Linked DNA regions of Drosophila melanogaster. The protein of the gene in region 1 purifies or fractionates together with the protein of each later gene. This does not show direct contact. Each region holds a gene or a part of one and is shown in the gene's direction. Other genes may lie near its edges.

Region 1 (3,557 bases):
CGTCCAACATGTGGTATACTTAATACTTAATTGGCCACACTCGAGTCACAGCCAGCGATCCGCAGATGGGAGGGAGTCAGCTATGCAAATTGGCCTCCACCCAACCGACAATTATGTTAAACTATAACAAAAAATATATAATAACTCATTGCGGTCACAAGCTGGTCTAATCAAATGCATGTAAGTCGAACTAGTCACCTCTGCTCCATTTGCGAACTCCAGACTTGCGACTTGGGAAATTTCCTTAACCAGAATGGGGCGGACAAATTTCAGGTCCGACTATTTCCCCAGAAAAATCGCATAAATCACGAAAGGAAAAAATATTGAGTTGAGCCACGAGTTGAGTTGGAAAATTGACGGCTTTTAATTTCGACTTTTGAATGATTTGTTGGCAATCAAAGTATTTTGGGCGTCGCTTGGGAAATGCGAATCTGAATCAAAATCGAATGTATGCATTGGATGGACGTTGCTCAATGGCTAGCAGACAAACAGAATGCAATTGGTAGGCCATTAAAATGCAATTACAGGCCACCAGAGTTTGGTGGTCAGCTGCAATCGGAACCAGCACGAATAAAACCAAAAATCCAAAACAACCGAGTGGGTGGCATATTTGGTTTTGTAGCTGCGGATCGATAGATAGCCACGCAATTTGGCATCCTGTTTGGTGTCAATCAAGCCGCCTTCGATTGAGATTTATGCGACAATTTGGTTAGCATTTGCATAACGCCACGGGTCGAAATCACGAGGTGTTGGCTTTGGTGAAGGGTTCGGCTTAGTTTTAGATTCGACTAGCACTAAGCCCCGTTGATATGCAGATTGTCCATTTGGGGTCCAATCAGCAACGATGGCCAGGGTCGCTGAGTCGAAAGAATTGTCGCCATCGTAATTGTTTATTAATTTATGACTCATAAACTTTAAGTCGGTCTTTGTTCGCCCTGAGAGAATTTCGATTTTTATACAACTCTTTGATTCAATACACCGATATTCAAGGCTCAAAACAAGCATTTTGCAATTCTTTTCGAGCCTCGTGTTCTGACTGATCCCGTGATATGATTTCAAAGCTGTTTCAGAATTAAGCATGGCTATTAGGAAATCTGGCAGGCCATTCGAAATGCGGCAAATATGATTTACCTATGTTTCCAATTGACTACGCTCCTTCCACCCAAGTTACGCATACGCCATGTGCGCGATAACAAATCAGTTAAATATTAATGCATGCAAAATATAGGCAAACCAGCTGCCGTCCAGCAGCCACCAAAATGACCAACTGCACCAATCTCCACTCTGTGTTTGTCAGTTATTAAAGTGAGTAATTTTTCATGGACCACTTGAGTTTATTTGCTGCGTGGAGAGGCAGCTCCGATTGATCATTTGCATCTGGACAACAACATTTTCCACACCTACGGATCTCTATATCTCTAATGAGCTGTCAGTCAGTCAGTCAGCTGATTGATAATAAAGTGCGTGTTTTCGGTTTTAGAAAGGATTTAGGCAGATATGCTTAATAGGCTTGCAGGCTTATATTTAAATAATTTGAACACGTGAATTCAACGGTTTTGAATAAAACACAATATTCATAGATAAATTTAAGTGCTCTTTCAAAGGAAATGTTACTTAATGGCCAATTTAGATCACTGGAATAATTGCAAAATTACTAATAGGCAAAACCAGATTTAGCCGTAGAATTTTCTCAGCTGGAAACCCCCAGAAGACAATTGTTCATTTCCACGACGAAATGAATGGAAATATAAAAGTTTCCGTTAGAGCAAAAGTCGCCGACAATAGCTGACGAAAAAAATACAAATTGAATTAAGTGCTCGTGGTGGTTCTCCATGAAAATCTTGGGGATTCGGTGGCTAAAATTGGCGGTGGCTCAGTGGCTCAAGCCAAAGCCGCCGCGTGACTGATCTCTTTCGCGATCTGCTGGTCGGCAAATGCACAAAGCTTCGGCTCTCGGCCGTCGAAAGGGGCGTGTTGGCTCTCCCTCTCCGCCGCTCTTTGGGCCAAGATTTGTCAGAATATTTCTCATGTTGCGGGTATAAATAACAGGGCTACTTGAGACGTCTAAGCATAACACATTCAGCTCTTCGGTCAAGAAGTCCAAACAACACAAAACCAGCAAAATGTTCAAACTGGTAAGATCAGGATTAAAGGATTACCGCTCGTATGAAGTTAACATAGAAGTTTCTTTTCCGCAGATTGCCCTCATCTCTGCCCTGTGCGCCGTGGCCAATGCCGGAGTAATCTCGCCCTACAGCCATGGATATGGACTGGGATACGGCGCCGCCTTGGCTCCGGCTTATGCCGCTCCGGCTGTGATCTCGCACGCCCCGATCATCAAGAGCTACGCCGCTCCCATTGTCGCCCACCCGGTGGCCACCTCCTATGCCAACACCTACAAGGTGGCCACCAAGGCCATTCCAGTGGTCCATGCCGCTCCTCTGGTCCATGCCGTGCCTGCTCTGCACTCCACCTCCACCTACCATGGATCCTATGGCGGCTACGGTAGCTACGGTCTGGGATACGCCGGCTACGGACACGGAGCCTACCTGCACTAAGGATCTGGATGTCGGAAAGGATACCAGCCCCCCGTTGACGACCCCGATTGAAGTGAGAACATTAAGCGGATAATTCGCATTTTGCTGCCGTCAAAGTGTTGAATTTGCATTTCGTAGTCAGAAGCGGAAATACAAATTGTGTACAAAATCCCTCAAAAACCCAGACACCCACTTGGAGACAGAGACAACTAGAGAACTAAGGACAACTAACGGGAGGCGGCGAGAGCGAGAGAGATTGATGAAGGATCAAGTTTCGTTGATTTTGTTATTATGGTGCAACTCCATGCATTGTGGCTTCATAACATTTTGTAAATAAACGATAAATGACTCTTTAAACGAATATGATGGCTTATTTCATTTACTGGTTGCTTATATATGTTAGTTTAAAAATATTCACTTGAAATTATGACGGATGGATATTTAAGATCCATATCCAAATATGCCTTACTACACACAATTCAATGAAATCTTTACGATACCTAACGTTTTGGAAGCAATATGAATTTTCAGAGTAATGTGGAAATATTTTAATTTGCCGTTTTAACACACACACATTTCGCAATGTAAGCCACTTAACTCAAAACTAATTGTTAAGGGGACAAATGTCTATTTATGAAGTGTGGAATTATTTTCAATTTAGTTTAGTTGAGCGTGAAGTGATCAGTTTTATTCGCATTTATAAGGATTCCAGATAGTATTGCTAGTTCGTAGATGCGAGCATTTCACAAAAAACTGCTTGTTCAATGATTTTCAACTGCGAACTTACCCCAACCATCCGATCGCCATTCAGCATTCAATTGCACTTCAAATTAATTTTACTTGAGCAACTTGCTCGATTCATATCGACTCCCGTCGGGTGTTTTGAAACTTGCAAGGAAAAAACCAAATACCAAAAAAAATTGTTTTATTGCAACGCCTTGCCCGGCCCACCTGCTCACTATACCCCCCCCCCCTCCTCTAACAATTATCATTGCGGGGAAACGAAAGACTCAAGCGACA
Region 2 (5,216 bases), on another chromosome or scaffold:
TTTGTTGTTCGAAAAAGGGCATTTCATGTTGGCCATTCCCGTGCGGCCTGCAGTCGTTGACCGCTTTGAACTGACCTTGCCGCGCGAATTTTCGTTAATTTCAACTTTGTGGTCACCGCTTTGCTGCACTGGTCCGGGATGCTGTTGTTTATGTTTTTCAGACTTTTCTGGTTTTTATCGCCCATCAAGGTGATAGGTTTGCATATAAATGACGCTAGAACAAAAGACTTTGGCGACGAACTCGTGGTGACTAAACATGTGTACGAATTCACTGTGAGAGCAGTCAAAAGAATTGGTTTGCCCCAAGATATTTATTTTAATGGGAATGAATCATTGGACTGCGTAGCGGAAGTTTATTCGTAGCTAGGGAATCGATTATGATGAAGTCCGTTTGCCAATAAGCAAAAAAAAAAAACTAAACACCAGTTTTAAAAACCTTTTTCGAAGCATTTTTAACATAAAGTAAATATTTCAGTAGTTTAGATACTTCCTTTATAAATTGCATGCTGTAAAAATAGTTATACGACTTTAGAAGTTTTTCAGCCAGCTTTAAGCACCACATTTTTTTCCAAACACAGAATAATACTTTTTTAAATCCAAAGACTAAGTACATCGGCTAAACTCTAGAGAGCCTTACGTATAATGAATTACTGATTTTACAGCAATATTTACATTTTTGTTTATGTATGTTTTTATGGCTAATTTTGCACATCATAAAAGATTCACTACTAAGGCAAAGACAACAAGATCTAGCATACTGCGGCTGAAAAGTGGCTTTGGCGTCGACCAGCCAAATTTGCAACTGTCGAGATTCACAAGTCGGATGGATTGACTGGACATAAACAGAGATCACGGAGGCTAACTTGGTGATTTGGCTTGGCGTTGGTGCGTGGCACGGTAGTCGCTAGTAAAAATTCAATTAGCAAATTAAATATTAATTACCAGACGGGTCTCTATGCTAATTGAATTAGCAATAGTAGCAGCTGGCAAATAACTAAATAAAGGAAAAAGTATTGGGGGTTTTTAAGTTGGAATGCTGCGAAGATGGAGTTTTTGAGGATTCGTTTTAATATTATCCAATATTTGGCACCTATTTTTTCTGACATAATTGTTTAAATTAAAGAATGTTGTATGAAAAGTGGAAATTGCAATTTAAAATTTGAAATTTTGATATTATAACGATTGCATTTTTGATTATACAATGCAATTACGTTTCATTAAGTTTTATTTTGGTTTAATAATAAATGTCTCATTTTAACATACTACCTTATAAATAAATCTTTTGTTTTTATGTCCAGTAATGCATTATACATTAATATTTTAAGTGGGCCTTAATTTATATCAACCAAATTAAAATGTCAGATGATAAAATTACGTTTGAGAGTTTTATTTTGTTTCCTTTTTTGTAACAATGCAAGTTCTAATATTTTCGGAGCACAGCTGTTTATACTAATATTATTTCTCCTCGTGACAGGTGCCAATGCTATTCTCGCCCGGCTGATTAAAGTATATAATTTGCCGCTCGGCTGTGAATTTAGTGTGAGGCCAGGCCCAAGATGAACCAGTTTGCGGTTGGAAAGTGTGGCAGCCTAGAGTCGGACAAGGTCCCTGATCAGGAATAGCCCTGGCGATATAGCCCAAGTTCCCTGTCGGATTTTTTGATATTTTTTATTTTAATAATTTTTTTTTTGATTTTCTGACTTTCCGACATGACTGCTTCATAAATTCACACTCACTTAAGCCTGCAATTAGCGGTCGAGCAAAAAGCTCCCATCGCTTTGGAGCTTTGGCGCTCTGTTGCTCTCTTTTGGGAAGGTTTTGTCTTTTGCTCACCGCTCTCGGCGTTCAGTTGATCGACGGCAAGCTCTCGAAACGGACGCAGATTTTTGTAAGTCGCCGCCGCGCCTGCGCATTTTAAATCAGTTGCAACAAAAAAACAACGAGAGGCAGCGAAGACGAAATCGAATTGTGTTTTTATTTGTTTGCTTTTGTTTTGTCTGTGTGTTATGCCATGCACAAAACCACCGTGTTCGTAAAAGTGGAGAAAAATCAAAAATCGAAAATTCAAGCCGAAATAAGTTTGCCAAAACAAAAAGAAACCGCAAAAGCCGCGTTATAATAACGCAAATAACGGTATTAAGTTTGAAGCTCATCTAGTTATTTATGCTTTGCTCCTCGTGGTTGTCTGCAAAAATAAAACAAAAAAGCTTAAAACAAACAACAGTGTCGAAAAACCTTAACAATTTGCGCGCACATAAAATATAATTAAAGCCAGCAAATTTTTGCCTTAAACATAAAAAAGTTAATCAACTTGGTTGCAATTAAATGTTGCAATTTATTTTTTTGCAACTAAAGTGCGAAATATTCAGTGCAATACAATAACAAAAATAAATAAGTTTCTCTGAAGCAATACAAATAAAAGTTTCTCTGTAGAAATATAAATAAAAAAATACCAAAATCCATATTATCAAAAATTCAATAAGATATGTAAATAAATAGTTTGGTATACTCAAGCAAAAATAGAATGCTGAACAATGGATAATAAATTATTTATTTTTTTGGGTAACAAACTGATTGCCGAGACTTAAAAGACACCGAGAACTAAAAATAAAATATGATAGATCAAACAAAAAAATTCCCAAACATCTAAAGAGGGAGTCCGCCATTCCTCAAACGTATGTGTGATGGGTGTATGTGTGGGTGGGAGCGGGAAAATTGTGTTGGTAATTTCTAATGCACATTTTCCCTTTAGTATTACCCAACACAATGTTTTATTACCCTTACAGGAGTAACAGGAGTAACTAAACCTTTGATATTTCGATATTTATTAAAACATGAAAAAGAAAATTGATTATAACAACTTCCAGCAATTTTAAACCTTTTTTTTGTATTTTCCGCGAAAGCGTACATAAAGAGCGTATTTTTTTTAATACCCCTTCCTTTTACTGTATTTTCCTGCCTGCCCTTTTAGTTGTCGTTGAATTTGTATGACGTGTGTGCATCAGGTTGATTTTTGTGATGCGTTTTGCCTATGTAATTTCCATGTCAGGCGTTGGGATTACTTCATCTCCCGTTTCATTTCCTATATGGCCAGATGATTCAAACCAAACTGACCAGCGCAAAAATGAAAACAAAAACTACTGCTACAAAAAAACTAAAAAAAAAAGTTGCACGAAAAAGCCGGTTGAAGGCAACTCTTACATATTTACACGCACCAGCGCTCATTGAACACACGCCGCCAGCAGCAACAACAAAGCTAGCACGGGAAAAAATTGTTTTAAACAGTTACTAATATTTTTATTAATATATTAGTAAGGATTATATTGATAAATAACAGTACTACAAAAAGTAATATCAAGATATTCATAATATTCATATATGACATAAATCATACAATTCCGAGTAATTATTTTCTCTCACTGCATTACAGCAACAGCAACAAAAGCAATATCAACAGGGCGACACAGAAACCTGTTGTTGTAGCTCTTGGTGCCTCTCTTGCTGTCTCTGTCTCGTCAAAAGACATTTGCAGAGTTTCCAGCTGCGTGTTGATTATGTCAATTTCATGTTTACTTCATTTCCTCAATCCACCGGCAAAGGTGTTAGAGAGAGGGGTATAGTGGGCGGAAAGGGGTGCGCCAGCAATTTCACTTTCGTTGGACTTGAAAATAAAAGCTGCAGTCTCTGTGGCAGTGTGAGCGAGTGCGAGAGAGAGAGAGAGAGAGAGATTATTGGAGCAAGATGGAAGGAGGTTGGAGCTTGGGAAAGAGAGCAAGTGAGAGTGAGAGTGCGCACAGCAAGTGTGCTGCATACGGTACTTGGATGCTGGTGCTGCTGATGCCTCACTTGCTTTGTGGGGCGTTGCTGCACCGTGGGTTATTGCTATTTAATGTTCTTGAGCATAAAATTGTGGATCGTGACTTTGGGCTCAGCAAATAATTCGTTTCACTAATCCGTATTGTTTCATATATAATATATTTTAAAAACCAGGTGACTAGTCACAATAACTAACTAACTGACTAGTTACAATAAAAGTTTTACCCAATTTTTTCAGATATTATGATGAAATCTTAAAAGAAGTGATACCAATTAGAATGGCTAAGCTCTGAGATATTTGAAGATTATTATTATTATTTTTGTTTATGAATTGTTATACTCTCAGTTTTCATATTTGCTTGAAAAGTTAGTTTGTTGATGTTTTAAGAACAATTATATGAATTTTGCAATGTTCATACGTCAATATAAGGATTATTATGTTACCATCCTTTTAATAACTGTACCACTGTGCGCCGGCGTCTTTTGTGTGCTACTCGTCGCATATTTTCCGTTTCGTTTTGTAACTGTAATGTCTGTTTTTCCCATTGTCCGATTGTTGCTGGTTGTCGCTTTTGTTTTGCGCTTATAACGTAATAACGTAATGTGCTCGAAGATTTCCACATGCGATGCGTCGCACCTTACGTTTTGGTGCCAAGTCCATCGCCGACGTCGACGTTCATTGTTTTTGCAGGCAATTGAGCCAATAAACTGACGCGAATCGTAGCGACTTACAAATTCCTGTCCGAAAAATATGCGAAGGTCAACCAGAGGGGCAGCACCAACAACCACAACGATATCGAATCCATAACAAAATAGTTGAGAACTCCCGCAAGTGGAGTTTCATACGAGTATGTTTGGTATTCGCACCTTCAAACATGATTTCACGGACTGTCAGCTTGGCAAAAATTCTAATTATAAATGAAACAATTTATTACCGGGTTTTTAAAATAAAATGCAATTTATGTGCAAAGTCTGGCGGCGGCGGCGGACTTGACTAGTTAAACCGGTTGACTGCCAGCAGCAGCAGCAGCAATGAAAAAAAATGGAAAAAGAACCATTGACTCAATGGGGGTGCAGTCAGCAACAGCAAATTGCAACTGCAAGGAAAACATTTTTCTTAAATATACGGAATTAATTAATAGAAGTTAAACAAAGGATAATTTCTTTAATAAATTCTAAACATTTATTTATTACGGCAGTGGTGAATTCGACAAAAAAAATTATAATTTAACCAAATGTATTTATTTGAAATCTATAAATTACATCTATATAATAAAACAAAAGCTTCGTTATATAACTCAGCAATAAATCTACTAAGTGCAATGTATAAAAAATCCTAATGAACATGTAGTTCAAAAATAACTCTAATAAATTTATCTCGAATAAATCAAACCGTTTAA

What was found. Proteins that work in one complex are often made in the same cells at the same time.
Region 2: the proteins of CG4962 (region 1) and mol purify together in Drosophila melanogaster (affinity purification with mass spectrometry, with the first as the bait; one large-scale study listed by BioGRID). This does not show direct contact.

Annotation. Positions count from the first base shown.
Region 1 is NT_037436.4:16,294,050-16,297,606, reverse strand, and holds CG4962 (uncharacterized protein), read left to right. Parts: upstream 1-2,059; 5' UTR 2,060-2,123; coding exon 2,124-2,135; intron 2,136-2,198; coding exon 2,199-2,558; 3' UTR 2,559-2,896; downstream 2,897-3,557.
Region 2 is NT_033779.5:14,994,188-14,999,403, reverse strand, and holds the start of mol (moladietz), read left to right. Parts: upstream 1-1,844; 5' UTR 1,845-1,888; exon of another isoform or gene 1,889-2,690; intron 2,691-5,216.